Rhinolophus ferrumequinum: one gene and its partner. The protein of the gene in region 1 interacts with the protein of each later gene in a biochemical or structural test. Links are inferred from orthologs where the notes say so. Each region holds a gene or a part of one and is shown in the gene's direction. Other genes may lie near its edges. The genes, in order: DNM1L and FIS1.

The links.
Region 2: the proteins of DNM1L (region 1) and FIS1 form a complex in vitro, tested with the Homo sapiens proteins (2 studies listed by BioGRID). The link is inferred for Rhinolophus ferrumequinum from reciprocal best matches to the Homo sapiens genes DNM1L and FIS1.

Annotation. Positions count from the first base shown.
Region 1 is NC_046293.1:41,499,701-41,514,767, forward strand, and holds the start of DNM1L (dynamin-1-like protein), read left to right. Parts: upstream 1-9,429; 5' UTR 9,430-9,592; coding exon 9,593-9,694; intron 9,695-15,067. UniProt on the Homo sapiens protein: Functions in mitochondrial and peroxisomal division.
Region 2 is NC_046290.1:91,302,693-91,318,574, reverse strand, and holds FIS1 (mitochondrial fission 1 protein), read left to right. Parts: upstream 1-8,962; 5' UTR 8,963-9,075; coding exon 9,076-9,120; intron 9,121-9,989; coding exon 9,990-10,122; intron 10,123-11,541; coding exon 11,542-11,618; intron 11,619-12,052; coding exon 12,053-12,158; intron 12,159-12,468; coding exon 12,469-12,569; 3' UTR 12,570-12,778; downstream 12,779-15,882. Other genes in the region: CLDN15 (claudin-15), read left to right, coding at 14,774-14,990. UniProt on the Homo sapiens protein: Involved in the fragmentation of the mitochondrial network and its perinuclear clustering. Plays a minor role in the recruitment and association of the fission mediator dynamin-related protein 1 (DNM1L) to the mitochondrial surface and mitochondrial fission.

The DNA of each region.
Region 1 (15,067 bases):
TCACTACAGCACTTGGACTGTGAGGAAATTAGAAACAGCTAGTCACTGTGGCTGGAAGAGCCAGAGGTGCTGAAAGACTTATGTCCTGAGGAAGTGGGGCCGGCAGAGTGGACCTGGCCCAGTTTGAATAATGAGCACTTAGTCTGCAGTCACTCTCTTATAGAGGAAATGATTCATTCACGTTTGGGTCCTGCATTTAAGTGAAAACAAAGCCATGTTTTGTCTCAGTAAAGGAAATACTCTTTTATACCGTAAGATGGCACCTCACAGTCCATTATGGTATTTTCACAAGAAACAATATTTTTAGTTGATCCCTTAAATATAGCGTTACCAAATACACTGAACAGAGTCCTGAGTCACTGATACTGGGAGCTGATTGTCTAGGTGAAGTCCCAGTCTGTGCGCAAAACTCTAGGATGCTACTTCTTGGGGATTTGAGTTGGCTTTAGAGGCTTGGGTTCGCCTTCTATCAAAGAGTGCAGCTGGGTCTCAGGCAGGGACATAAAATAACTGTAAAAGCCTGATTAGTAACTTATCAAATCTTAATTCTTCTAAAGGCCACTTTTTAAAATGTATGTGTTTTTTTTTTTTTTTTTAAACTTGGAGATACAAGGAACTCCTAAATCAAGGAGGTTTTGTCAAATGGAAGGTCAAGAGAACTGAATTTCTAATCCTTTCTCTTCTAGTAACTGGAACCGTGAACATGGACACATCATTTTACCTCTCTGAGCCCTTGTTTCCTTATTTGTAAAATACTACGGTTGGACTAAAATTTAAAAATGATGAAAATTGCTAATGTTCCTTTAGGCTCTAGTATGATAAGATTCTTATTTATATTTTTGTTATTCATTGTTCCTGATTCTGCATGCCTTTTAAAAAACCTATATTTGGTATCATATGCAAGTATAATTTAACTGTATTTATAAATATATGTTGTCACTTCTATTTTTCGAAATGTTTTTCAAGTGCTTCCTTAATATAATGCAGTATGGAGAACCTTTCCTCCATTGCTGTGCAGCCAAGGTTCCAATCTCTCAGCCAAAGCCCCCTGGGTGTCAGTGGATCCTGTGAGTGCAAATAAGTAGCTGGTGGGCTCAGCATTAGTGCTAACAAACATATAAAAATCTCCTCTTCAAGAGTCAAAGTTTTTACTCAGGCAAATAGGCTGGGCTGATTGCCAGGTCAGGCATTCAAGTGGAGCATTTAGACACTGAGAAGGCACTTAAAGGGGCCATTTCTGCCCTGAGCCAGCTCCCATGCCTAGAATCTGATTCCTAACCCCCAACACACTTATCTGATACCACCTACCTGTAAAAGGGCCAGATTTGACCCTGTAATTTCACTTCCATACACTTAAGAATACCATTAATGAAATTAAAAGACAAAAATACATATTGAGAGAAAATATTTTCAACATATTGAAGAGCTTATTTTCCATAATAAATATAGAAAACTCATACAAATGAATATTTTAAAATACCAATGCAATGGGGAAAATGGGCAAATATTATGAATAAGTAATTCACAGAAAAAGAAATATAAAGGACTAACACATGCAAAAAATTCACTAATAATGGAAAGCAAATTTTAAAAAATGATTGCTTTTTTAGCCTATTACATTAACAATACTAAAAATATTGATACTACCCTACGGTGGGAATAGGAAATAGGTACTCCCACATGCTTCTACTAGAAGTATAAACTGTCACAGCAATATTTATTTAGATTTTAAAGATGCATACCCTTTGACTTAGCAATTCCACTTCTAGGAATCTATCCTACTGAGATACTGATAAAAGTATGAATATATACATGTATAAGGGTATTTTTTGCAACGTCGTCTATAGTAAATTCAAAGTGATCTATTATCTACCAAGAAAAAAACTGCTAAATAAATTATAAGAAAACTGTTAAATAAATTATAACCCTTACAAGAAAATACTATGTGTCTGTTGGAAAAAATATTTTGGGATTTTTATGTATTGATACGGAACATATCTACACTATAGCAACGAGTGAAGAAAATCTATATATAAAAGATTTCTTCACTATGAGTGAAAAAATAGAGCTATAGTGTGTAGTGTGATCTAATTTATATGTTATGCCAGAACAGTGAAAAGTATAAACAGAAAGAAGTTACTAAGAGTGGTTCCCATCTAGAAAGTATGATTAGAAGTGAGATTTTCATATTTTATATTGTTTATTTAATGATATTGCTTTGGACCAAACTGTGTCCCCCTAAAGATGTATTTTGAAACCCTAATCTCCAATATAACTGTATTTGGAGATAGGGCGTGTAAAGGGGTAATTAAGGTTAAATGGTCCTAAGGGTGGAGCCCTAATCCGATAGGACTGAGTCCTTATAAGAAGAGGAAAGGATACTAGAGGGCGCTCTCTCTCCACAGGTGCACAGAGGAAAGGCTATAGAAGGAGAAGGCAGCCAGCTGCAAGCTAGAAAGAAATATCTTAACCAGAAACCAACCTTGCTAGCCTCTGAAGCAAAGAAAAGCCCACAAGGATGTTGAAATACATTTTGAACAAGCCATTCTCTTTTATTTTTCCTTTTTGGTCACTATTTTATGGTTTCTTTTGGTCACTATTTTATGGTTTCTTTAACATCTTTCTTCCATCTCTTAAATATTCCTATTGCCCGTTCTGCCCTTGGCTATTCCCCACCCCGGCGTCTAGACAAGTACATCTATTCTAAATTCATCCGGGTGTTTCCATCTCCGATATTACTACCTTAGTATACATTACCATCATTTCTGACTTGAATTACTGCACCATGCCCTATCTGGTTTCCCATTCTCTCTTACCTCATCTCAGTCCCGTGGGATGGGGGTGATCTTTATAATATTCATATGATCATGTGTCTCTTTGCTGCTGCTTCTGATTTTTCTCCATTTCCTTCTCCATTACCTAGAGGTTACATCTCTAACTCGTCACTATCATGAGTTCACCTCTGACCGACCAGATAATAGCCTTGCCACTCACCATTCCCTCACAGATCCTCCTGCTCTGCACGGAGCCGCACTAAACTATTTAAAGTATCCAGTGTATCATGTTCTTTCCTTCCTCTTCACTTTTGCACAAGCTGCTCTCTCTGCCTGGTTCTTTCTCTTCCTCTTTCTCTGGTCAACTCCTATTCATCCTTTAACCCAGGAAGCCCAGTCTAGGTCCCTTTCCTATGTGCTGACTTCTGGTATATTAATTCTGGTTACTTGTTCGTTTTCTTCTTGAGAGGAAGGAATGAGAAGAAAGGAGATTTTTTTTGGAGGAATGCCAATGAATGTTTTATTTGCCTTTGTATCTTTAGTACTTAATATAGTATTTAATGCCTGTTACTGTTTTCATTTTTATTTTGTTTGCTTTTGTTTTTGCTACTGGTGTGAATAGTGGCACACCTATAAGACTGCTGTCTGGATTTGGGCTACATCATTTTCTATATTTTCATTACTTACTAGTTCTGCAAATGCTTTTTAAGAATTTACTTCTATTTGGTTGTAGGTCTCATCCTTAGTAGTTATATTAGTAGTCCTATTTCATAGAGCAGGGGTTGTGAGTAAAGATCATGGCTTCGCAAAGAGGATAACTAATTCAGAACTTTTTCCCTTATACTGTACTGGTTCTAAAATAACAACATATTATTTTAGAACCTGACTAGCCCGGATAAAGTATATTTAATATGCAAAACCTTGTTCATTCATTCACCCATCCATCCATTCCTCCATTTAGTCAAACATTCAGTAACTGAAGAGGAATTTGAATAAGTAAAAGCCATCAGTAAGAAACAAAAAGTCACTGTTGGATAAACTTTTACACATATTACATACGCTGTGCTTAGTGCTTTATGATACACTGCCTTATTCACTGATTTTACTAATTGTGTCACTAATGTGTAAGTCTTATCCATCACGATTACATGGAATTTCTACACAATTGGTTCTTAAAACTCAAATTGACTTACACTGCCCACTACTGTTTAGATGAACTGGTTGGGGAACTAGAAAGCAAAGATACTCAAAGTCTCTACTAGATCTGGCTGCTGAAGGAAGAAATACAGGGTGGATGTCACACAGGTGAGCCTTTGATACACAAAGGTAGCAATCCAAGGGCTGAAAACATAAGTGTCTCTCCAGCGGAAAGTGTAGGTTAATAGAGTTGGTGTAGGGAAGAGAAACAGGAAGCCTAAGAAACAGAGGAGAAAGGAAATTTGAAGAGTTTCTGAGAACGCCACACAACATTTTGGGATCCTCGAGTGCAGTTGTAAAGAAAAGAGGCTAATGAGAAATTCCCAGAGACAGGGTAAATAGAGTAGTTTAAGGACAAGGATGTCTAACATGGAACTTTCAGTTGTTGGCATTACTGTGATGTAAAATCACTCTATTATCTCAAACAGTTAGTAAAATACGCCACTTGTTTTGAGGGTGGGAGGATTAAAAGAAGGGTTAAATTCCATTGGTGTATGGGTGTGGAGCCAAGGGAAGAAAACAGTCTAGGAAGATGAGAGGACTCTACTACTCTTAATTGTGTTGTCACACTGCCCTCTAATGGGCTGTCAGTATCTCGCCAGGTTCAATTGCTGGCTTCTGAACCATCTGACAGACGCCACCATCTGCAGACCATTTCCTGCACTTGCTGACAATGTCTGTGTGAAGCTTGACGCCTATGGAGTAGTGCAAATTGATCAAAGCTGTTTACTTTATCATTTTGGCAAAATAGGGCAGTTTCCAAAATATGACAAAGAGGCTTCCCCATCAGAGTTGTATATTTTATAATAATATTAGATCTGTACTTTTGTGGGGACAGAGCCAGGAGAGCAGTTTCCAGGCTCTCAACCTCATATGGAAAGGTGCTGGCTCGGGTAGTAGATGGCCATCAGCTGTGGCTAGTTGGCCATCAGCTGTTACGGTTAGCCATTAGCCACTGATATAACTGCCGTGGCTAAGCTAGCAAGCGCGGACTGCAGTTACCAAGTGGGATCGGCGGAGAAGCGGACGGCAGGTTGCGAATCGTGTGGCTCCTGCCCCCTGTGTCTCCAACCCAGCTGCCAGCGAGAATATAGTGGTATGACTCCCCTATCTATGGCTCCGTGGGTGTTCCTTTTTGGCCTAGCCATATCCTGCGTTCTTATGCGGGGAGCAGGACCAGAGTCCCCGCATGACACCCCGCATGACAACTTTCCCCTATGATTTGAAGCCATGGATAATGGCAACTTGACTATGATTAATGATCAGTATGTTGGCATAAAATGATTTGAATACTTATGCTATAAAAATAGTCTCAGTGATCTTTTGCAAGAAGTATTAAATCTTTTCCTGTTATAAATTTAATTTAAGATAAACTTTCTCTCTTTAGAAGTTTTAAGAACAAAGCCAGTCTACCCCCTAGCAAGAAAAGTAACTTGACAGCTATTCTGATGAGGAGTCCTATGCCAGGCCAATCTTATATGTTTTGGCTGGGTTTGATTGCAAATCCTAGTTGCAATTGTACCAATTTAGAGGGGCTGGAATCCTTGCTATTCCAGACTTTTCATGTAAAAGAAAAGGGAACCCCAAGTTTACTAGAGTAGTACTATGCAACAAGCACTATACTGGATAGTGGAGATAACTGGCTAAACCTGACACTAATTCTCCTCTCAGTGACTAGCTCTCTGTTGGCTAAGGGGGAAGGACATGTTACTATCATGTTCATAGTCCCTCCTCTCTTTAGCAAATACAGTGCCTAAGATCCATATGCCTAACGGGTACTTGATACATATGTGTTGAATAAATGAGGGAATGAATGAAGAAATGCGGCAATATGTATAGAGATTAAGAGATTAATAGCCTGTTTTGATCCCAGCTTTGCCACATACCAGCTATGTAAATGTGTCACTTTACTTAAACCGCTGGACCCTTGGTTTCCATATCTGTAAACCTATCCCACAGGAAAAACTATAAAATGCTGAGCACAGTGGCTGGCACACAATAAGTTCTCACAAAAATAATAGTTTAATAATGTGTGAAAAGGGCAACAAGGAAAAGAGGGAGTGATTAACTATGGGGATTAGAATTCCTAGATTATGTCTTATATTTGTACATTTAGAAGTATGGGACAATTGTTGGATTTGGAAAATTTTTTTACGGTGAATAAGGAGTCTACTTTATTTTCCAAAACCAATTTATTATATGTGGTAGGAAACATGCTCTCTGGTGACAGTGACTCACATCCGTATAGGTCACATCCTTATAACGAGAAAGAAAATTCTCTGGTTAATTCAAGTTAAAGAATACTCTGGGAGGGTCTCTAAATGGCCTTGCTTGGGTCAAGTCCATCCCCGGACCAATCACTTTAACCTGGTGTGGTAGGCAGCATAATGGCCCCTCCAATAAGTCCAAAGCCTAATTCCTGGTACCTGTGAACTTTACATGGCAAAGGGACTTTGCAGATATAATGAAAGGCACAGAAAGTGATGGGGAAATTGTCCTGGTTTATCCAGGTGAGCTACTCTAATCATGGGTTCTTAAAAGCATAGAACCTTCCCTGGCTGCAATCAGAGAAAGATGTGATGGCACATGAAGGGTCAAAAAGATGTAACATTACTAGCTTTGAAGATGTTGGAAGGGAGTCAAGAGCTAGGAGTGTGAGCAGTCTCAAATCTAGAAAAGGCAAGGAGATGGACTCTTCCATAGACGCTCCAGAAAGGAGCTACAGCCTTGATGATACCTTGGTTTTAGCCCAGTGAGACCAAGTGTTGGACTTCTGACCTACAGGGCTGTAAGATGATACATTTTTGTTGTTTTAAGCCACTCAGTTTGTGGTCATTTGTTGAGGCAGCAATAGGAAACACATACACCAGTGGACCAGGGTGGAAACCTAGTTTCAGTTCCTCCTCATATTCGCTCCACCTCATTGGCCCTGAGGCATCTGGCTTGGTGAGATCCCTACAGTCTCCACCACTGTCTGCTCACTTCATCCACAGGAATAAATTGACTGGAGAGAATGAAGTAGATATGCAGAGAGAAGCAGAGATAAGAGGTAGAGAGAATTCTGATGCTGCGTGAGCCCGTGGTTCCAGTTAGTTTTGAGGCCAACGTCATGTTAGCCCTTTGGTTGTACAAGTTAATTCCTCTTTTTGAGCCAACTAGACTTTAATTTCTGAGACTTGTAATCTAACTGTCCTGCCTAAATCATAAACTTATAGTGAGAGAGGGATGGCAGAAGGAGTTTTTTAAAAAGCCTTTGGAGAGAGTACCTGAATAATGGCTTAATTTGATGTCATAGCAACCCACTGAGAAACACATTATCCTACTTTAGATGAGGGAAGTCATACTTGGCTAAGTGGCTGTCCCACAAGCAAGAGTGTTCTGAACTTAAATGTGAAAACCCAAATTGGTTTGCTTTGTTTGTCTCCAGTGAAACACATTGCACGTTGAGTACCCTGCCTTATTTATTTATTTATTTATTTTTAATGTTATCAAGTTAGAGCCACTCTTTTTCAAGGCCTCACCACTTCCTGTTTCTCTAGCCTCAGACACTTCTCTTCTGTGCCCAATGAACTCAATGCTCTAGTGTCTGGACAAGTACTGGACAAACCTGCTTAAATCTAACTGTGGTGGTAGTGATAGAAGAACTTGTGAGAACTGGCCTGAGATCATTCTTCCTTCTCCTAGAAAAAGAATTAAAAAGCAGTCACTGTTGTTCCTGAGCATGTTCATACAAAGATCTGGATGTGCTATCACAAATATTTTATAATATAAATGGAAATAGATAATGCCATGTAAAATTCATGACATTTGTCTTTCTGGAATACATGTATGGTTGCTCTTTTAATTTTGCCATTAGCAAATAGGAAAAGACTATGTCTGTTGGGGCCACAAATAAGGGAAGGCCTATTTGTAGGTTGTAGGTTGTAGCTGCATCATTTTTGCCCCAGGTCACGGTGCCCCTATGAAACAGTTACTGGTTATACCCATGGAAGTTCACCATGAACCTATCCCCTCTCTTTTGTCTGCTCTGTTTTTTGGAGTTTTGAAATTTTCCCCCACTTTGTCTCTGAAATTTTTGTTTTTAAAAAGAATCAAAGAGCAGGGAATGTTCATAAAACTTGGTATGATGCCAAAACACCATTAGTGGACCTTCAGGTCTTAGATGACAGTTCATTCGTTTGTTCAAAAATATTTATTGAGTACATACCATGTGTCCTGCTAAACAAATCAAGCTTGTTCCCCAGGGCTACTGTGTGAGGCTGTGCTGGTGAATGGTGTACCCACTGAAGTTGTGTAGTGCACAACTTGCACTGCTGCTGGTGGTCTTTGCCCTCATGGAGATTAGATCTAGTGAGTTCTAGGAAGTCTTGCTTGAACTTTCACTCCTCCCCTCAGGCTAGAAAAACTCCTATTATGTGGTCCATAATACATGCAACCATAGGACTTTACCCAGTTATTTATAATGGTCCTCAGTTAGATTGTAAACTCAGAGGGGACTGAGATTGAGACTTTCTTGTTTGTCACTTTCTAAGGACTAAGGATTCATCAATGAATTAAACAGTTAAAAGTCCCTGGCATCTAGGAGCTGATAATCTAGCAAAAGCAGAGAATAAACAAGTTCAATGTGTAGCATGTTAGATGGGCATAAATGCTATGGAGAAAAAATAAAGCAGGGAAGGGGGTTTTCTCCTCACTTACTTTAGATCTTTGCTCAAATGTCACTTTTTTAAAAAAAAACTTTGAGATAGAAAACCTTGGAGGTTTGGCGTAGAAGAGAGATACTATCTGTCTAAAAAGAAAAACAACATTTAGGAACAGAACAGTAGGCACACTTAGCAAAATGCTAGAAAGGCAGTTATCAGATCTCCACTTTGCCGGAATCAGGCCACAGCAAGTAACATTTTATACAGACTATAGAAAACAAGGGCCCAGCCCTTCCCCTCTAAAACTCTGACACTTTTTAAGATTCTTTTTGAACACGTTTTTACACAAATCCCGGAGAACCCGCATCGTCTAACCTCGGCTGGTTTTGTATTATTGCAAAATAGTACCCCATGCCTTCCACTGTCAGCCTACAAACTTTTTGCACCTGGCTGGGGTGTCTGAGGACATGGGCTGTTTAAGCCTTTCCAACCCGCCCTTATTGAGAAAGCGTCCTCATAAGGAAATGACACCTTAGATAATCAAGAGACTCCGTTGTACTTAACACACGTTCGGGATTTTCCCACCCAATACGCCTCAAGGACTGTCAAAAACGTCCGAGTTTCTTCCTACAATCCGAGCCTCGCTCCCTAGTCATCTGACAAGAGCCAGGGAGCTACCCAATTCCCAAGCACTCGCCACTCCCGGCTCGGGGTCCGCCCGCACCGCGAAGCCTTCTGGATGCCGTAGGCCCTGGCTTTCCTCTGCTCCAGAACTACAACTCCCGGCAGGCTTTGTTTCTCGCCACCGCCCTCTCAGCGCACAGCCTGCCGGGAGGGGGCAGGTAGCGGCAGGGCAGGGTCCAATGGGTGCCGGCTCCGGAGGAAAGGGCGGAGGAGAGGAGGAAGGAGGCGGACTCTGGGCCGCGGCCCCATTCATTGCCGCGGCCGGCCGGGCGGGGGTCCTGTGTTTTCGGAGTTATGGAGGCGCTAATTCCTGTTATCAACAAGCTCCAGGACGTCTTCAACACTGTGGGCGCTGATATCATCCAGTTGCCTCAGATCGTCGTGGTGGGAACGCAGGTGAGAGACGAGGGCGATGTCTGCCAAGGCCAGAGCCCGGGGCGCGGGCCTGGTCGGGACTGCGGGAGCGCACGCTCCCGGGCCAGGCTTTGCGGCCTGTGGCAGGAGGACGCTGCTTGGGGCCCCGGGGTTCCCCGGGCTCTGCCGCGTCTGCTGCCCCAGGTTGCGTTGCATCAGGGCTGGGAATCGGGGCCTGGCCGGGAGGCGAGGGGCGGAGCCGGCGCGGTGGGCCTGGCGGGTCCCAGGGGCGGGGTGGGGGAAGGACAGCCCGTCGGGCGGAACTGGAGTCCGCGGGGACCGGGCGCGGTTTTCCCCGCAGGCCGCTGCTTCCAAGGGCACCTGGGGGTCGCGCCGGGCACGCGGGGCGCACTGGCTCGTGGTGGGCCGGCTAGCCCCTACTTGTTTGGTTTCAGGGCGGCTGGGTGTTTTATTTCCTTCCTTGCCTTGCTCTGGGGCTGCGGAGTCAGTTTTGGAACCGTGCGGTGGGGGCTGAAAAGGCCGCTACTGTGTAGCACCTGAGTGTTTTTCTGCAGTGTAATCGCCAAGGTTTGGGGAACGCCAAAGCAGTTAAAAACCAAAATACCCTCAAACCACTTGGATCTGGGTATTTGGAAGGAACATCCCAGTTTTTGGCATAGGCTGTAGTTTTTGTCTTCCATCTAAACTGAACGTCAAGGTTCTCTTGTCTTTCCATGTTGGGTGTCTTAAGACATCATAATTTCTTGTATGTAGAAATGTTGAAGAAATAATGTTATTTCTAGAGTGACAGAAGTATAAGTTCCATTTTCTCTGCTTGCTGCTTTTCTTGGTTGAAGAGGAATCATAGGACTTTGATCAGACTTCAGAGATGCTAGGGATTAATGACTACTTAGTATAAAGATTTTAAGTCCTTTTCATTTCTTGATGGTCATTTCTATTGAGAAGGGGACGCTTCCCGATCGTTTTCCATGAGGTGCATCGCTACATCTTGCTACAAAATTAAAGTGTAGAGTATAAGTATTATGACAGGGAACTTAATGTTAAAAATGCTACATGTATTTCCAAACACTGGAAACCGTGGAAACCATAGACATCCTGTACTGTGTGTGCTTTTAAATAGTTAAAGCACTGGAAATTACTTCAGAAACAAATTTCCTTGGTCTGCTATAAGATCTGTATAGATTCTGTTCAGCCCTGCCTACACATATTGTAGTATTTGTAACTCTTAATATTTGTAATGATTGGCAACTCTCAATCATCAACATATAACAAATTATAAGTAATGTTTTTATTGAGACTATTTTGTTCACTTCTGTGGTCCCATTCCTTGCCCATGGAACAGACTGCGGTATGTAGCAGGTGCTCCATAAATATTTTGAGTAAATATTGTTCACTGAAACAAGATAATACTTTAAAACACAGAGATTTTTATCATCAAAACCTGTTTTGTAAATGGAATCAGAGGAGATGATATAAATCAAATCTTCTTTGGTGGTATTTTCAAGGTGTTTTGTAGCAGTAGACTGGAAACTTTCCATATAAGAGGTGTGATCAAAAAAGATGGTGAATGTTTAAATAAAAAAAATTTATTACAGTAAAAGACACATTACCATTAATCCTCCTCAAAATACTACCCCTCACTTCGAACACACTTATCCCATCGTTTTTGCTACTTTTTGAAACAGTTCTGGAAATCGCCTTTTGTGAGTGTCTTTAGTTGCGCTGTCAGGGCTGCCTCCATGTCCTGAATCATTTTGACTTCAGGAAGAAGCCACAAGTCTTACGGTTCCACATCCAGTGAATAAAGTGGATGAGGGCACACCGTAATGTTTTTATTTGACAGAAATTGCTATGCCAGAAGTGATGTGTGACATGGAGTGTTGTCAAGATGGAGGATGATTTATGGCACACTTTAAAACATACCTTCTCTCAACCATAGCTCACCTGACTGACTGCACCAAACAAATTGAAGCTTGTCACACACTTACTAATGTTCAGTGCACCCGAATTAAAGATCCCTGCCTTTCTATCTGGTGGCACTCAGCAGCAGCAGTCACCATATTTGTTGATCACAACAGAAAGGCTCCGTGTCACACATCACTTCTGGTATATGGCAATTTCTGTCAAATAAAAACATTACGTTGTGTCCTCATCCACCTTATTCACTGGATCTGTCATTGTGAGCCTTCTGGCTCTTACTCTAAGTTGAAATAACCATGAAAGGTAAACGTTTTGAATTGGTTTAGGTCATTGAAGCAGCCACAACAGCTCAACTAAATACATGAAAGAGGACTTCCAGAACTGCTTCAGAAAGTGGAAAGAATGATGGGATAAGTGGGTTCGAAGCAAGGGGTATTTTGAGAGGGATTAATGACAATATGTCTTTTACTGTAATACTTTTTTTTTTTAAATTCGTTTATTGGGATGACAATTGTTAGTAAAGTTACATAGAGTTCAGGTGTACAGTTCTGTAATACATCATCTGTATCTCACAATGTGTTCACCACCCAGAGGCAATTCTCTTTCCATCACCATATATTTGACCCCCTTTACCCTCTTCTAGAACTCCCGTCCCCCTTTACCCTCTGGTAACCACTAAACTATTGTCTATGTCTATGAGTTTTTTGTTTCTTCATTTGTTTGTCTTGTTCTTTTGTTGTTTTCAGTTTTATATACCACATATCAGTGAAATCATATGGTTCTCTACTTTTTCTGACGTATTTTGCTTAGCATTATAATCTCAAGAGCCATCCATGTTGTCACAAATGTTCTTAGATCATCTTTTCTTACCGCAGAATAGTATTCCATTGTGTATATATACCACAACTTCTTTATCCATTCATCTATCAGAGGACATTTTGGTTTCCATATCTTGGCCACCGTAAATAAAGCTGCAGTGAACATTGGAGCACACATGTCTTTATGGATAAATGTTTTCAGATTTTTTGGGTAAATACCCAGGAGAGGGATTGCTGGGTCATATGGTAATTCTATTCTTAATTTTTTGAGGAACCTCCACACTGCCTTCCATAGCAGCTGCACCAATCTGTATTCCCACCAACAGTGTATGAGGGTTCCTTTTTCTCCACAGCCTCTCCAACACTTGTTATTTTTTGTCTTGTTGATAACATCCATTCTAACTTGTATGAGGTGATATCTCACTGTGATTTTTATTTGCATTTCTCTGATGATTAGTGATACTGAGCATTTCTTCATATGTCGATTGGCCATTTGTATGTCCTCTTTGGAGAAATATCTCTTCAGGTTTTTTCTGTTGTTGAATTGTATGAGTTCCTTGTATATTTTGGATATTAGCCCCTTACCGGAGGTGTTGTTTGCAAAAATCTTCTCCCATTCAGTTGCTTGCCTCTTTATTTTGTTGATGGTTTCTTTTGCTATGCAGAAGCTTTTAAGTTTGATATAGTCCTATTCGTTTATTTCAGATTTTACTTCCCTTGCCTTTGGAGTCAAATTCATAAAATGCTCTTTGAACCCAAGGTCCATAAGTTTAGTACCTATGTTTTCTTCTATGCAGTTTATTGTTTCAGGTCTTATGCTTTGGTCTTTGATCCATTTTGAATTCATTTTGATACATGGTGGCAGACAGCAGTCCAGTTTCATTCTTTTGCACGTGGCTTTCCAATTCTGCCAGCACCATTTTATTGAAGAGGCTGTCTTTTCTCCATTGTGTGTTTTTGCTTCTTTGTCAAAAATTATCTGTCCATATTTCTGTGGGTTTATTTCTGGGTTCTCAGTTCTATTCCATTGGTCTGTGTGTCTGTTTTTCTGCCAGTGCCATGCAGTTTTGATTATTGTTGCCCTGTAGTACAAGCTAAAGTCAAGGAGTGTGATACCTCCAGCATTGTTCTTTTTTCTTAGGATTGCTTTGGCTGTTTGGGGTCTTTTGTGGTTCCATACAAATCTGATAATTTTTTTGTTCTATTTCTTTAAAAAATGCCATTAAGATTTTGATGGGGATTGCATTATCTGTATATTGCTTTAGGTAATATGGCCATTTTAACTGTGTTGATTCTTCCAGTCCATGAGCAACGGAATGTCTTTCCATTTCTTTGTGTCTTCTTCAATTTCTTTTAAAAATGTCTTATAGTTTTCAGCATATAGGTCTTTCATACCCTTGGTTAAATTTATTCCTAGGTATTGTATTTTTTTTGTTGCGATTGCAAAAGGAATTGTTTTTTTATTTCTTTTTCTGAGATTTCATGTTAGTATATAGGAATGCAATGGACTTTTGTACGTGGATTTTGTAGCCAGCAACTTTACTGTATTCGTTTATTGTTTCTAATAGCTTTTTGGTGGAGTCCTTAGGGTTTCCTATATATAGCATCATGTCATCTGCAAAGAGTGACAGTGTAACTTCTACATTCCCAATTTGGATGCCTTTTATTTCTCTTGCCTGATTGCTCTGGCAAGGACTTCCAACACTATGTTGAAAAGCAAAGGTGATAGGGGACAGCCCTGTCATGTTCCTGAACGTAGAGCAAAGGGCTTCAATCTTTCACCGTTAATTATATATTAGCTGAGGGTTTGTTATATATGGCGTTTATTATGTTAAGGTATTTTCTGTCTATACCTATTAAGTGTTTTAATCATAAATGGATGTTGCATCTTGACGCTTTTCTGCATCAGTTGATACAGTCATATGATTTTTTGTCCTTTATTTTGTTTATGTGATGTATCACATTGATGGATTTGTGTATGTTGAACCATCCTTGTGCCCCTGGGATGAACCCCACTTTGTCGTGATGAATAATCTTTGTAATGCTTTGTTGCATTCGATTTACTAGAATTTTGTTTAGGATTTTTGCACTGATTCATCGAAGGTATTGATCTGTAATTTTTTTTGTGTATGTTATCCTTACCAGGTTTTGGAATCAGGGTAATGTTGACCTCATAAAATGAGTTAGGGAGTATTCTCTCTTCTTCAGTTTTTTGGAAGATTTTGAGAGGTATTAGATCCTCCTTAAAGGTTTGGTAGAATTCACTAGTGAAGCCATCTGGTCCTGGACTTTTGCTTTTGGGAAGGTTTTGGATGACTGATTCAATTTCGTTACTGGTGATCAGTCTGTTTCGATTTTCCAATTCTTCATGGTTTAGCCGAGGAAGGCTATGTGTTTCTAAGAACTTGTCCATTTCTTCTAGGTTATTGAATTTGGTGGCATATAGTCCTTTATAGTATTCTTGGATGATCCTTTGTATTTCTGTGGCATCCGTTATAACTTTCCCTTTTTCATTTCTGATTTTATTAGTGTTTTCTCTCTTTTTCTCTTAGTGAGTCTAGCCAAGGATTTGTCAATTTTGTTAATCTTTTCAAAGAACCAGCTCTTTGTCACATTAATTTTTTCTATTGTCTTTTTGTTCTCTATTTCATTTAGT
Region 2 (15,882 bases), on another chromosome or scaffold:
CTAGTTATAATTAGCATGAATAAAGCTAATTCACAAAAGGCAAAGGTCAATTACTGGAATCCAGCAGGCCAATCTGGCCTGAGACTTGTTTTGCTGGGCTGCCACAGTGTTATCCTAAAATCTGAATTGGAATGCAGAAGCTGTGCATGTGCTCTCCAGAACCCCACAAGCTTCCCACATTGGGGTTAATCCTCATTAACCCCAAACCCTATGGAGTTACAATCTTACTACCACTAGACTCCAGAAGCACTGGTGGTTGTGACTTTTGATCAATTTACATAATTAAATGGTCAATGAGTCAATCTCTCTTAATCTAACAACTCTTTAAGTAACTAAATATGAAACGCAACACCTTCAAAGTAATTCTAGGCCAATTTGCTTAAAATCAAACTGTTTAAAATAATTCACTTAAAGCCATTTTAGCTAAAGGTTTATTGAGATAGAAATACATTTACTTATAATCAATCACTTAAAGTCTCATAACATTCTTTCTAACTTTACCGAAATATAATTGACATATAACATTGTGTGTTTTAATGTGTACATGATGACTTGATACATGTGTATATTGTGAAATAATTAGCACAATAAGTTTACTTGATCTATCCATGACCTCACATAATTACTTTCTTTTTTTTTTTCGGTGTGGTGAGATCATTTCAGATTTACTCTCTTAGCAATTTTCAAGTACATAATACAGCATTGCTAACTACAGTCACCCAGCCGTACAGTATGTTCCCAGAATTTATTCATTTTATAACCGGAACCTGGATCTTTGACCACATCCCCCACTTCCCCTATTCCTCAGACCCTGGCAACTACCATTGTGCTCTCTGTTTCTATGAGTTCAGCTTTTTTAGATTCCACATGTAAGTGAGATCATACACTTTTTATCTTTCTCTGTCAGACTTATTTCACTTAGCATAGTGTCCTCAAGGTCCATTCATGTTGTCACAAATGACAGGAATTCCTTCTTTTTATGGCTGAATAATATTCCAGTGATTGTGTGCGTGTGTGTGTGTCTCACATCTTCTTTATCCAATCATCCATCAGTGGACACTTAAGTTGTTTCCATGTCTTAGCTATTGTAAATAATGTTGCAATAAATATGCAATAAGACTGGATTGCCAAAGAGCAATCCAATGGAACGGTAATGATAATGATAGCTAATGATAGCTAACTTTTATAGAATGCCTAGTGCTTTACAAGCATATCTCACATTCTCTCCTCATAATAGATTCACTAGGGAGGCATTAGTATTTTTATCCTGATTTTTCAGCTGAAGAATCTGAAGCTTAACCAGATAAGGCAAATTGACCACAGCCACAAGTCTGTGGAGGGATGAGGTTCAATTTGACTTTTCTGCTGTCCATGGATTCTCAAACTCTAGCATGCATCAGAATCACCTACAGTCTGTAAAAACATGGATTGCGAGGCCCCACTCCCAGACTTTGTGATTCAGCTGATGTGGAGTGAGGCCTCCAAAATTTCATTTCTATCATGGGTGATGCCCAAGCTGCTGGTCCCGGGATGCACTTTGAGAACCACTGTTTCACACCTTTGTTCCTCACAGTGTGTCAGAGAACATTCAGCATTGGCATCCCCTGGGAGCTTGTTAGAAATGCAGCATCTGAGGATCACCCTAGACCTACTGAATCAGACTGCATTTTTAACAACGATCCCAAGTGGTTCGTGCACATGTGTGTACTCATCACACACACTTTTGGACCTAGACAGACTCTAAGGAGGCCACAGGTAAATTTTAATTTACAGAGAACGTCTCTGGGGAAAGGGTTACCAGGAAGGACTTCGATCACCCCTGGGACACAGAGGTACGATGCGTAACAGCAAGAGGTGGAGACCGGGGCGAAGATTCGGGACTCGCTGGCATCGGCACCGCCCCCTCCGCCTCCCAGTAGCGCCCCGCCCCGCTCCTCCCGCGGAGCCGCACCCGTTAATTGGCCAGCTGAGGCCCCGCCCCCGCCCCGCCTCCCGCGGAGGGCGACTACTGCGCAGGTGCCGACGCCGCGGTCTCCCCCTCGCGTCTCCGCGGGTCCTCCGGACCACCGAGCCTTCCTCCTAGAGCAGCCCCCGAGGAGTCACCTTCTCCCTTGCTTGAGTGCCAACCAAACCTCCACCCGGAAGTGCAGAAGTCTCTAAGGTTCTAAGCGTCCGTTTTGGAACGCTTGTCGTTACTCTTTCATTCACCACATACGATCTTGGATGCCTGCCCTTTGGCTAAGAGATGAACGAGGCACAGTCTCTGTCCACATAAAGGACTGTGGGATTGGGTGATAAATGCTGTGCCTCCTAGAAGATGGAGGCATGGGGTCGGATATAAGAAAGCTGTCCCGGAGGGGTAACGGTCCTGAGCCTGGCAGTTGCCTGCCATGTAGGCACGTAGGTGTTTGGTGAATGGAAATCTCCCGTTGGAGAGCATTCCGGGTGGAAGAAAGGTGGCTGTCATGAAAACGTCTCCGTGTGCAGGGCGCGTGGGTGCCTAGAAATGAAGCTGGAGAGGTAAGCAGGGTGGTCCTGAAGGGTTTCGTGTGCATAATAGGAAATTTAGATGATGTCCTTAGACGGTATTTTTAATCAGGACATATGAGCTCTGATTTGCATTTTAAAATACAACTAGCAACCAGGCTGGGTTGGAGGAGGAAAAAATCTGAAGGCTGTTGGAGTATGGCGACAGAATGGAGCGGAGTGGCCTGATTACATATATTTATTCGTTAGCATTAAGATTCGTTAGCATTAAGATGTAACTTCCATGAGAGAAGGACTATGTCTGTTTAGTTCATTTCTCTTACCCAGCACTTAGAAAGCCCTGGCACACAGTAGGCCCTGAACAAATGTTTGTTGGATAAATGAATGAATCAATTTGCCCTTGATTGGACTTCCTAACTGATTGGATAGTAGATGAAAGTGGGAAGTAGAGGAGACTGATCACTGAAGATTGGAAGAACACAAATAGTGAAATTCTGTTCAGTGGGTATTTCCTGAGCACTTCTGGGCTGACTACTGACAAGATGCTGGAGGGTAGAAATCCAGAACAGGCTCCAGCTTCTGGTCAAGGGAGGGGCCCAGAGCCCAGAATGTGCTAACAAGTACCAGTTAGGTTTTAGTTCCCCCCCAACAAAAAAATGTCAGTTTCCCTTCTGTCCACTAACGTGACCAAATTTGAGAAGCACGTGCCTTTTTTCTGTTTTGAATATTACCATCCACATGCATAGAATCCATATGACTAGTTGTTTACCTTCACAGATAATGTAGGAAATGAATATCTTCATGCCTTCCTTTTTTGTTGTTTGTTGACTTTTCCCACAGGAGATTCTAATTAAATGATATTATATCTTGTAGGTCTTACTATATATTGTCTCATTGCTTTCCAAAAAGTTAATCATGGTAACAGCAACATCCATTTATGCAACAATCACAAATAGGTTATCTATGTGTAAGGCACTGAGCTGGCTCTAGTGGTATAATATGAGCAAAATAGACACAGACCTTGCCCTTATGTAGCTTCCAGTCTAGTATAGGAGGGTGGCATTAACCAGATCATCACACAAGTGTTTAATTACAAATAGATGAATAGTGTGAACTAAAAACAGCCGCTGCTAGCCAAGAGACAGAAACCAGTTTTACAACAATTTCAGCAGCACTGATGGTGGTTTGGGAGATTTTGTTTATAATTTTACTACTGTATAAGCTAAACAAAGGTTTCTCAGGATTGCTTTGCCTGATTTGGTTTTGAATTAACCTGAATTGCTTCTTCCTAGTTCACCTGCGGCTTAAGGAAAGTCCCACTATTGTAAACCAACAAAAAATTTACAAATTTATGCCTAAATTTTTAAAACATGAGTAACTAGAGCGTACGTATGAACTTATTCTCTTCACTTCTCCTATTTATCCTTTAGCTGACTCTTCCTCTCTCAGCGCACAGGTCTGCCTCTTAACTGAAGCAGGACGTAGGTTTGAATCCCAGCTCCTCCACTTCTAGCTCTGTGACCTTGGGCAGATTACTTAACCTTTTGATCCTCAGTTTCCTCATGGGTCAAATAGAGCTAATAATGGCACCTTCCTGGTGTGATTTTTGGCCACGTATTTCTTCCTTTACGTAGGAAAAACTAAACGAGCAGAATAGAGTCTCTGGCTCCTGGAAGATTTCAGTACTGTACCCAGTACCCAACCAATACTTGTGTGGCTCACAAAAACACAGTGCTAACAAAGACAGGAATGTATAGGTTACAGTTTTATATTCTGAAAATGTAGGACAGGTAATACTCTCCTTCTCTACAGGAGACTTCACCTAGTCTGGATGAAGAGATGGTCTTCCCTAAGGAAGAGTCTTAGAGCTAAGAACTCAGGTCAGTCAGGGCAAAACCTATTTGTCATCTTACACTCTTCTCTCACATACCCAATCCATCAGCAAATCTTGCTCACTGTACCTAATATCCTGAATCTGACCACGTATCCTAAATCCCTTCACCCCCACCACGACTGCTGTAGACCAGGTCACCTGTCTCTTGCCTGGGCCACCGCAGTAACCTCCTAACTGTCCTCCTGTATTTATTCTTGTCCTTACCGCCTTTTCTCCAACAGCAGCCAGAGGGATCCTTTCACAATGGATCATTGCTCAAATCGTTACTCTATTGCTCAAAACACCCCTATGCTTTTCCATCACATGTGAAATGAAATCCAGATTCCTCACCATAGTCTGTAAGGCCGTAAATGACCTGCCATCTCTCTGCCTTCATTTTCTGTCACTCCTTTGCCCACTCCACTCCAGTCACATTGGCTTCCTGGTTGGGCCTCAAACCACCTTTGTACATTCACTCCTCTGTGTGTTTCACTTGCTGCTTTGTCTGCCTGGAATGTTCTTCCCCATTTACCTGCATGGCTCATCCACTAACGTCAGTGCTCTGCCCAGGTATCACCTCTCCATGGCTTCTTTGGGCACTCCTCCCATAGTATCCTCTTCTCTCATAATTCCTTTACCCCGCTTGATTTGTTTTCATAGCACTTTCAACTCCTGACATTATTGCGTTTTTAGTTATTTACTCATTCTATTATTTTTTTCTGTTTTCCCCTACTAAAATGCAAGCTTCGTGAGAACAGGAACTTAATTTTATTTAGTGCCAGTGTCAGGCACATAGTAGGTACTCAATAAGTATTTGTTGAATAAATGAAATCATGAATGAATGAATGAGCCAAATAAAAGGGGGGAGGGGATAGATGTTCCAGATAGAGGATACTGCCTGTGCAGAGGGCCTGTGGGGCTGGTGTACAGACAGGGAGGGGTAGTGTTACAGAGAAAACCACAGGCCCAGAATGGTCACTTGTGCTAAGGCTGATGATACCAAACCTAGATTTAATACCTGACCTAACTGCATTTTCATCCTCTCTCAGAAATGTTATCTTAATCAACCAGTCGGGAATTTTCTGATCATGCACTAATAAGGTAATCTGTCACTTGGACCCTCTCTACCCTCCATAGAAAGCAGCAGCAATCTGCACAATAAAAACCCTTGCCATTCCCTTCCCCCACCTCCCAAAAGAAGATGTCCTGGTCTAAAAATAGTCTTTTCTTTGGTTAATAGCTCCCTTGCCCCACCCTTCTCCCTATAAAAACCTTCCATTTTGTACAGCGCCTTAGAGAGGCTGGTTGCTAGATCCAATCTGGTTGCTAGATGGGATGCTGCCCCATCCATGAATTGCTTAATAATCAACTAGATCTTCAAATTTACTCAGTTGAATTTTGTATTTTTTAACAGTAGTAATGGAGAGATTGAAACCAGAGGGCAACCGAGTCCAGGGCTCTTGCTGCCTGCCCCGCTCAGCCACTAGACCGACACAGGAGTTGGGCACTAGGATAAGCGTTTATTGTCAGAGCACCTGAGATCTGAGAAGGCAGCAGTCTTCGAAAACTGCCTTACCATTCTCAGACCAGCTTGGGGTATTTAAGGGAAAATCTGAGCATTTTTCCAGAGACTGCATGAGAGGGTCTGCATGAATGCTTCCCTCTGGCAACGTGGTTCTCCAGTGGCGTCAGCAACCCAGAAACAATGATGGGAGTAGCCTGGAAAGAATGTTGGACCATAGAGATTGTGATCAATAAGCCTAAGGTATTAATCATAAGATTGGGGTAATTTTCTAAAGCAGGGAACTGGGACGGGACATTCCAAGTTCAAGCCACAGGGAGATGATCTGTTGTTAAGCTACGGTCAAGGAAAGGTGAGGCCGGGACATTTCAAGGCCTCGACTATGGGGGTTCCAACTGGGCCCTTCTTCAAGATGAGGCAGAATTAAGCATGGACCAGATAATAGAGGATGTTGTAGGCTCTGTTACAGGATTCTGGCCTTTGTTCTAGGCAGTGAGATCAGCCATTAAAGGGTTCCTGGTAAATTGAGAACTGTGTTTTTATACGATCTCACTACTGGGTGGTCAATTCATGGTAATGGGGCAAGAATGGATGTGTGGGACCAGTGAGGTGGCTGTGGAAGTCATGCAGGCAGAGATGACAGTGGTTTGCATTTGGATGCTTGCTGAAGAAGATGGAGACACATAATTTGGATGTAAAATTAACAGGCACTGTTTCCTATCCCCGTGACACCAGGTGGATGACTATGCTAACTGGACCCAACCAGACACAAACTCAGACTCAGGATCTCTTCATTGGCACAGAATTGAGCCAACTGAGTAAGGCATTCTTTCTCTCCACATACATACATTCAAGGAACTCTGATGGAGATTTTGCCATGCGCCAGGCCTGTGCCAAGAGCCGTGGCAGATACAAAGATGACTAAGGTGCAGCAGGCCACCCCACAGAAGTAACACCCTAAAAAATTAATGCCCTTTTGGCCTCCCTGTATCCCCTGCCTTGCCAGTACTTGCCCTCTGTCTTCGGTCCTGCTCTGCTTCATATTACGTATCTGTTTATTCCCTCTTCTTACACTAAGGCCCAGCCAAAATTAGGTGCTCGATGCATCTTTCAATGAATGTGAATTTTTCTCCTTGACTATTATGCTAGTGGTCTTAAGGGAGCCAGTTCTCCAAACTAAAGTTTCTATCAAAGTTTACTGAGCTCATGTCAAAATCATTTCAAGTGCCCAAGCCAAATAGAGAATAACTTGCCTACCTAACTCACAAGGCTATCATGAGAATTGGAAAACAAAAGAAACTCAAGGGGCTTTGCAAACGTGAAAGGTGTTTGGATGATAATCCCTGCATTTACAATGCCCTTTGTAGTCATGCACTGCAACGATGAACATATACGGAGGAGGTCCCCTAAGATTATAATGGAGCTGAAAATGCCTGTGGCCTAGTGACGTCACAGCGTCGTAGCACAGCACATTACACAAGTATCACTGTGTTACAGTTGCCTGCAGTATTCAGTGCAGTAAATGCTATGCAGGTTTGTAGCCTGTACAGCAGAATTTATCACCCCAAAATATGTCTACTTGGCATAAGAATTATTTTAGGCCGGGTATTTTAAGAAACATACATTGGATTCTGAAATCCAAGAAATCACCCTTTGTAAAATGGAAATCTGCATTTGTAATGGTTTGAAATCACCTAACAATTTCTCAGAACGTATCCCCATCATTAAGCAGCACATGACTATTGTTGGCTTTATTTCATATTTACAAATATTTATTAAACATTGACCTTGTGCTAGGAGCTGGAGATGCAAGGATAAACAAGATACAGTCTCTGCCTTCATGGAACTTACATCCTAATGTGTATTGGGGAGCACTGTGGGTCAAGGTTGTTAAACAATTCAACAGAGTAAATCTGATGATCTAATTGATTTCATTAAGCAACTCATTGGGCCGAATCCCATCTAGCAACTAGAAGGGTGGTATGAACAAAAGAAATTACTTTTAGACCAGGACATCTTTTAGTGGGGAGCAAGGGTTTTTATCATGCAGATTGCCTCTTCTTTCTATAGAGGGAGGAGCAGAGTGTGGAGAGGGTCTTCTTGACAGCTTTACTTTATTGGTGCTTGACCAGAAAATTCCAACTGATTAAGATTACATTTCCGGGACAGACTGAAACTTCAATTAGATCAGGTATTAAATCTGGGTTTGGTATCATGAGCTTTTAAGCACTGAGTGATGCTATTTTGGACCTGTGGTTTTCTCTGTAACTAGGTAAAAGGAGTTTGAGCACTACCTACCCAGTCCCACCAACTGCAGAGAACAGATGCCAGAGGAACCCGCAGCATTTCCCCTTTCCATGTTTTGTTGCTCCTCACTGCCAAGCTCTTCATTGACCTTGAACCCGTATGGCAGGCCATCCGCTTTAGGTACACCCAGAGGATGCTTTATCTAAATATTTAAAAGATTGAACCCTCTTTGCAAGCAATGGCTACAGCTTTTCTTTAAATTCCCTTTAATACTATCCCGTTACTATTTACTGCAGTCTCTGGGTGTATGGTTAACAGATCCAGTTATCGATCCTCTTGCATTGCGCGAGTAACAGAGGCCCTGGAAACCCTGGCATTTAATGATTTTCTTGCAGGCACTGAAAAGTCACTGAGCTTCCAGGGTCCCAGGTTTCTGGGGGCGTCCTAGAGCTGGTGTTCGGGCGTACGGAGGGCGGGGGTGGACAGGATTAAACTGAGCCCTAAAAGTGTGATCTAGGCCGGGTTCTTCCCCTTCCTCTTTCTGCTCTTTTCAGTGGGGGGGGGAGGGCCGGATGACCACCGAGATACAGTCGCAGCCTTTCTTGAGGCAGCCTCCGTAGATGAAGAAACACGCAGGGCATCCGGAAAAAAGAACGTGGGGCTATAAGCAGCACTGTGCGCGGCCCACGCGCAACGGGCTTGAGAAGAGTACCGATCCCAGCGTGCACTTCACTGCCCTCACCCGCGCGCTGAGTGCGCGGGGAGGAAGTGGCGGGCGCCTCCCAGGGGCCGGGCTCGGCGTTGGCTACGTGAGGTGATTGGCTCTGCATAGGGGAGGAGGCCCACTTCCGCTGGACGCCGGAAGTGTTTCTCTGCCCCGGCCAGTGGGCCATGGAGACAGTGGCACGGTAACGTCTGAGTTCTGAGCATTGCGGGGGCGGCGGCCATGGAGGCCGTGCTAAACGAGCTGGTGTCTGTGGACGACCTGCTGGTGAGGCCTGGCCCCGAGGAAAGGAAAGGAAAGATTCGGGCGGGCGGGTCCGAGGAGAGTCGGATAGGGGCCAAACCCTATTCCCATCATCAGCTTTGCCCAGGGAAGCCGAACTACGGCTCCCGGCAGCCTTTGCAGCGTCCGGCTCCTGCCGAGAGGCTCCACTTGGCCCTTGAGCCTAATGGGAGTTGTAGTTTTCTGTGCGCCACCACACCTCAGACTCAGGGCCTGGAGTCTGGCGTGGAAAAACTAATGGGTTCTGGGTGCGTGCAGTAATTAGGATGTCAGGGTGCGGATCTGTTTTTGCGTGCTCCTTCAATGGCAGGGAACTAGCGACCATCAATAGTTTCATATATTACTGTACCCTGCACGGTGCTAAGTGCATTGCAGGCGATCTCATTTTGAGCTCTAGAAGGTAGGCACTATTCTTATTCCTGTTTTGCAGATAAGAAAAGGTCCAGACCTAGCAGGATGGGATGGGATGAGGGAAGCAGTCTCCAACGAGGGACTTCGTGGGCTGTTGAGCAGTTCTGACTGTTGAACAATGTGTTTACTGTTCACCCACTCGGAGTCAGCTGCTCTGGGAGCGGTTCCTGGAGCCGCCACCAGGTGGCATCTCCTCTCGGTACCACTAGGGGTAGAGGAGCGGAGGCGGTCCTGTCCAAGGACAGCCTGCCGACAGGAAGCCGAAAGCCTGGGTCCCAGGGATGGTGACAGCAGAATCTGTGGTGCCAGGAATCAAGACCCGTGAGGGAAATGTAGCAGAGACTGGGGAATATGGATCGAAACTGGGAAATGGGCACCCAGGTCCATCAGAGAATGGTTCGCCCCCTTCATTTCTAAATGACTCCTCTCCTCTCCTATGGCAGAAGTTTGAAAAGAAATTTCAGTCTGAGAAGGCAGCAGGCTCGGTGTCCAAGAGCACGCAGTTTGAGTATGCCTGGTGCTTGGTGCGGAGCAAGTACAACGATGACATCCGTAAAGGCATTGCACTGCTGGAGGGTGAGGTGCTAGGCTCCCCGACTCTTCCCTTCCTAACTGCCAGCAGGGTCTGTCCTTCTTTACTGCCATTGGTCGTTCCCTCCCCCCATCTCAAGTGCTGGGATCCTTTTTCAACATGGGATCCTATAGTACAGTCACCTCACAGTTACTAGGTTGGTGGAAAAGTAATTGCGGTTTAACTAAAAGTTTAAAAATAATTGCACAACCCGCAATTACCTTTGCGCCAAGCTCATATCTTCTAATGAGCTCACTGCAACAAAGGGGTGTGCATTCGCCTGGCCTCTCCCAGGGCGCTTCTGGCTAATCACCACCTCATCGTTGTTTTGCCAAATAGAATCAGCATGTCGGTTTCTACAGGACTTTGGTGATCTGGTAGTCTCACTATAAAGTGGCTTGTCTGAGGTCACACAGCTAATTAATTAATGGCTGAATTGGGACTAGAGGCTCCTGTCTTGTGTGTCCCAGTCCTGGGTCCTTGCCCCCCCACCCTGGAGCTTATTCAGCAGCTGCTGAAAACTTTTTGTGAGGATGGCATGGAAGACGTGCAGAAGGTAGTCCCAAAAGCCTGCGAACAGAGGGTGCGTTTTTGGTTGGAATCCTGTTTCCCATTGTTTTGGGATGGGTCACCATTTGTCAGAAACCACAATATTTGACCTTTCAGTTTCTCTGTACCCTCTTTCTCATGTGTAAGCAAACAGTCAGTGTACTAGCAAAGGATGCCTATTATAAATCAATAAAAATAAGAATCTTAATGCAAATAATCTCACCCTACATTTGTCTAATTTGCCAATTCAGATTTTTCAGATTTCCTGTAAAGCTGTGTCCTGCTATAGAAGTAGTCTCTAGGGCTGCCAGTCTAGTTGAGACAAACAATTGGGAAGATTTATAAACACCGGCAAAGCAACAAAAACTTAGCAACAAAGTCTAGTGCATAGAGTACAACTGAACACACAAGCCTCTGGGAAGTAAGTCACTGAGTTAAGAAAGAGTCGGGTGGGGTCATTCAGGGAAGACTAATTGAAGGTGAGTTTTGAGCTGATTTTTTAAAGGGAGAGGGAATACAAACTTAAAATTTTTAACTTATTTGGGCAACAAGCAACTGTAATTGAAGCACAACAGATGTCAAAACTAAGGAGAGATGCCTTTTGGCTTCTCCAGTGCCTTGAGTTCCTTTCAGTGCACTTGGATGAACCAGAGCTGACTACAGTATTGTGTGTTGAGCACCAGGGTGTTTGGGCAGCCTGAGTCCACGCTGCCCCAGAGCTCTGACTGGGAAGCCAGGTGTGACTGGAGTTGGAAGGGAGGCTCGGAACTTTCTCCTAGGATCATATAGGGATTCAAAGAGTGGAAGGTGTTTCTGGGACACAAGCACTAGGAAGAGAGAGAAGTGGTTTTCACCCTGTCCCCTCCCCTCCGTAGAGCTGCTAACCAAAGGGAGCAAAGAGGAGCAGCGGGACTATGTCTTCTACCTGGCTGTGGGGAACTACCGGCTCAAGGTAAGGTAGACAACTCCCTTGTTCCCACTCCACCCTACTTGGGTGGTCCACAGCACCCTCTCCTTTCTCTCCAGGGTAAAGCCTGAAAAAGGCAGTAGGCAGGGGGTGGTGTCAGGTACAGAGGTGCAAGGTGATAGCAGGTCAGGATGCTGAGGGAAGGTGAAAGACAGGATCAGAGTGCCGAGGGTGTGGGAAAGGTGACGTCAGGATTGGGGTGCAGCCCCAGGCCTGGGCTGTTATCTCCCCTAGCTTATCACCCCCCCACACACACTTGGGGCTGTTTTGTGGACTCTACTCCATTGGGTGGGGCTGGAGTGAGGGAGGGGGTGGAGGTAGAGGGAGGAGCCCCCAGGGCAAGCAAAAGGAAGGCCCCTCTGAACGGCAGAAGGAGTGCTGGAATACTGAGGGTGTGTGTGTGTTTTCTCTGAGTGTAGGAATATGAAAAGGCCCTAAAGTATGTGCGAGGGCTGCTGCAGACAGAGCCCCAGAACAACCAGGCCAAGGAACTGGAACGGCTCATTGACAAGGCCATGAAGAAAGGTGACTGCCTTCCTCTCTGTCTTCCTCTGCTCCCCACCCTCCTGTCTCCCTGGCCCCAACAGCCCCAGTTTACTCTTCTCCCCACCCCCACACCTGGGCTCTCTGGTCTCTCTTTAAATGACTCCCCTCCCACCAGTTCTTCCTCAAACCCCCAGAAGCCGCCTGTATCCAACCCTGGAGTCCGTTACCCTGTGACTCCAGGTGGAGAAGCACATCTGTTGAGGAGCAGCGGGCAGGAAGGACATGGTAGCCGTGGTCCCGGATGGCTCGGGCTGGACTCCTGACTGTCTCCCTTTATCTCTCTCTCCAGATGGACTGGTGGGCATGGCCATTGTTGGAGGCATGGCCCTGGGTGTGGCAGGAGTGGCTGGACTCATCGGACTTGCTGTATCCAAATTCAAATCCTCCTGAACAATACTGCACCTGTGCCTCTGCCCAGGGATACATGGGAGCCCATGGCGGACACTTGGAGAGTGGCCCATCCATCGTCACTCTCCCTTCTCCTGAACCCCATCACTGTCCTTTATGGCTTCAACTTCCTCTCCCCTGAGACCTGTCCTTTAGCCCCAAATCATGTGCTTTGGGATGAATGTAAATAAAATTGGGCTTTGGCTTGCCAACCTCTGTGTCTCTGTTGAGGAAGGGGCGGGTCCCCTTGAGCCCAGAAGTGGAGGTAACAACTGGTCCTTTCTTGCTCTGTGTTCTCCCACTCCTACCCCCCACACTGTTGTGGGGTTCTCCTTTGTCTGCCGTGCTGCCTAGACCCCACACCCTTCCTTCCTTCCCCAAAGCCACGTGGCGCAGCCTGGATCCTGGGGGAAAGCAGAGACCGGAGGTGGGAAGGGCAGAGCTAAGGGGACAGGCCTGGATTTATGTCTCCTGTCTCCTCTGACCCACTCAGCTGCTTTTCAGCACGTGGAGTTTTCCACACCAGGGGGGCCCCCCACTCAGTTTCCTCCAAAACCTCCGCCCTTCCCCTCGCTTTGTCCTCCTGTGTCCTCCCCTTCCTCCTACCCTAGTCTCCTTAGGGGACGGGGTGCTGCTGCTGGTGGGGGGAAGGAAAGAGGTATTTGGCATGGAGTTGGCAGGGGTCTTGGGAGAGGTTAGGAACCCAGCACACCCCAGTTGTAGGCTCCGAGATGGAAGGTGGAGACCCAGTCCCCACCCAGCCCGCTTTGCCCCACACCCGCTTCGTGCCAGGCTCAGCGTGGGCCTGTCTTGCTTCACTGCATACCTCTCATTCCACAGCCAAGCCTGCCCAGCTGGGGGATTGGGGAGGAGGCCCCTGAGGGGAGCACATAGGAGCCTGACACGGGAAGTTGGGGAATGGGGGCTTACACTTCAGCTCAGCGACGTCCTGTGTATTGCCTGGGTGTAGGATCAGCCCCTTGGAGACAGCTCCAGCCACACTTGCCAGAAGAGAGCCAGGGCTGTCCCACTGTGGCCTTGGGGCAGAAAATGAGACCATCTGCTGTGGGACAGGTGCTCAGCCTTGGCTTGGGGTGGGGACCCAGAGGTTTCTAATCAGTCATAATTAATAGAGCTAGTGACAGCTCTGATAATAGCTGCTTAGATTAGCCGCAGGATCGCCTGCACCTGTGATTTATCCCCCTCCGGGACCCTTGGCAGCAACATCAAGCTTGTTGCTGATGGTCAAAGATCAACCCACCAAAGGGAGGGTAATTCAAGTTCAGGAAGTTGAAGTTTGGAGGAAAGTAACACTTGATGGCCTCACACTGGGCAGGTGGCACTGAGACCCAGGACAGTCACCAAGTATCAAGCACTTCATACATGTGGGGAGGTTTGATCTGTGGTCACAATTCTCACTACAACCTCTGAGGTGAGTGGTAGTAGATCTAGTTCACAGAAGCAGAAATGAGCTCACGGGACTCACACTTCATGCCCGTGTCACTTGGGTAAATAATGGGGTCTGGGTTGAATCTAAGTTGGATTCCAGAGCCATGGGTTTCCCCCCACAGACCTCATTCCCATTCCCGTCAACTTTTAATCTTCCTGGGAGACTCAGTGCCCCAACCCCTTTGAGTTTCTTGAACTTTTCTCACCAACCTCAGGTGGCTCTGCTCCCTCCTTCCTTCCCCATTGAAGGCTGTGGTGGCCTGCCTGTGGTCATTCTCTGTCTGTCTTTTCTTGTCCCTCTTATTTCATTCTCTGGCCTCCGATGAAAGCTGAGTCAGAAACAGACGCTTCCCCTTGGCTCCCAGTGCCTCCCATGGGGGCCCCTCCTTGGCTGTATCCGTTAGTCACTCCCTAGTAAGTCCCCCCCCCACCCTTGTGGGGCGGGGAGCCCAGGGCAGCCCGGAGGCAGTGGACTTTTGGCCCGTTTCGTTTATTCCCTCCATCTCCTCGTCAACATCTGCCGTGGGCTCTTGGTTCATTCCTTTGACCGACCTGCGGGAAAGCAGAGACCCAGAGAGAGGGAAGGAGGCAGAAACCGGGAGACAGACCAGAAGCCAAGGCTGCAACCTGTCTTCCGCCCTTCCCCTCCCTCCCCACCCTGCCTTAACACCCCTCCTTAGCCAAAGCCCCTCGAGGTCCCCTGGGGCTCATCCCCTCCCTGCGGGGCCCCAGGTGGCCCTCAGGGCCTGTGTCCCACCATGTCAGTGGCTGTGGAGACCTTTGGCTTCTTCATAGCAGCCCTGGGACTGCTCATGCTGGGGGTGACCCTGCCAAACAGCTACTGGCGAGTGTCCACTGTACACGGGAACGTCATCACCACCAACACCATCTTCGAGAATCTCTGGCACAGCTGCGCGACTGACTCCCTGGGTGTCTACAACTGCTGGGAGTTCCCATCCATGCTGGCTCTCTCCGGTACCGTACCGGGCGGAGGGTGAAGGGAGCAGAGGGAGGCGGAAGGTTGGAGAGAGCCCCGGGAAGTGTGGGTGCCGCCTGCGGTCTGGCCTTGGACACCACACAGAGAAGGGAGGCCTGATTCAGCTCTGGGACCTGGGCTCCTGCAGCCAGGAGTGCTGGGGGCAGTCCCCTGTCCGGAACGGTAGTGGCGACCTGGTCACACATGGCCCCTGCCCTAGTGGGAATACTCTGTTGTAGTGGTACAAGTGCAGGCCCCAGGTCCAGTGCTGCTGTTTCCTAGCTCTGCACCTTGAGCAGGGGGTAAAATGAGCTTCATTTGACCTATCTGTAAAATTAGGGGCATCATAGCACCCATTCACAGGGTGGTCGTGGGGATTCTATGAAATAAAAGGTGCAAAATGTTAATATGATGTTACAATCTAGATGCACTCAAACAATGTTAGCATTTTAATTTTGGGGTGGCAAGGCTGTGGTTTGTGGGGTGAAGAGGCCCCATCTTGGATTCTTGAGGGTTGAGACCATCTCAGTAGCCTCCACTGGGGCACCACTGCCATGGAGAGTTCTAAAGGGCTGTTAAGGAGATCCTGGGTGTCTACTGTAAGCAGGTGGTGGATGTGCATGTGTGTTCAGGATTCTCAGGGCAGTGTGTTTTTGTGGTTCTTGGTGCGCTGGAACCTACAGCTCTATTGGACCAGGAAGGTTCTCCCTTGTGGCTGCAGCATCGTCCCACTTGCTGCTCACCCTCTAGTAGCCCCATCATCCCCCAGGGGAGTCTCCCTGCAGTCGGCCCCATGCCAGAGACCAAGAAGGGATGACCAGGGGTCCTCTGCGGTGCCTCTCCTGCACCCCCACCCATGCCCTCACTGCACCATCGCCGGGTCCTCCTGGA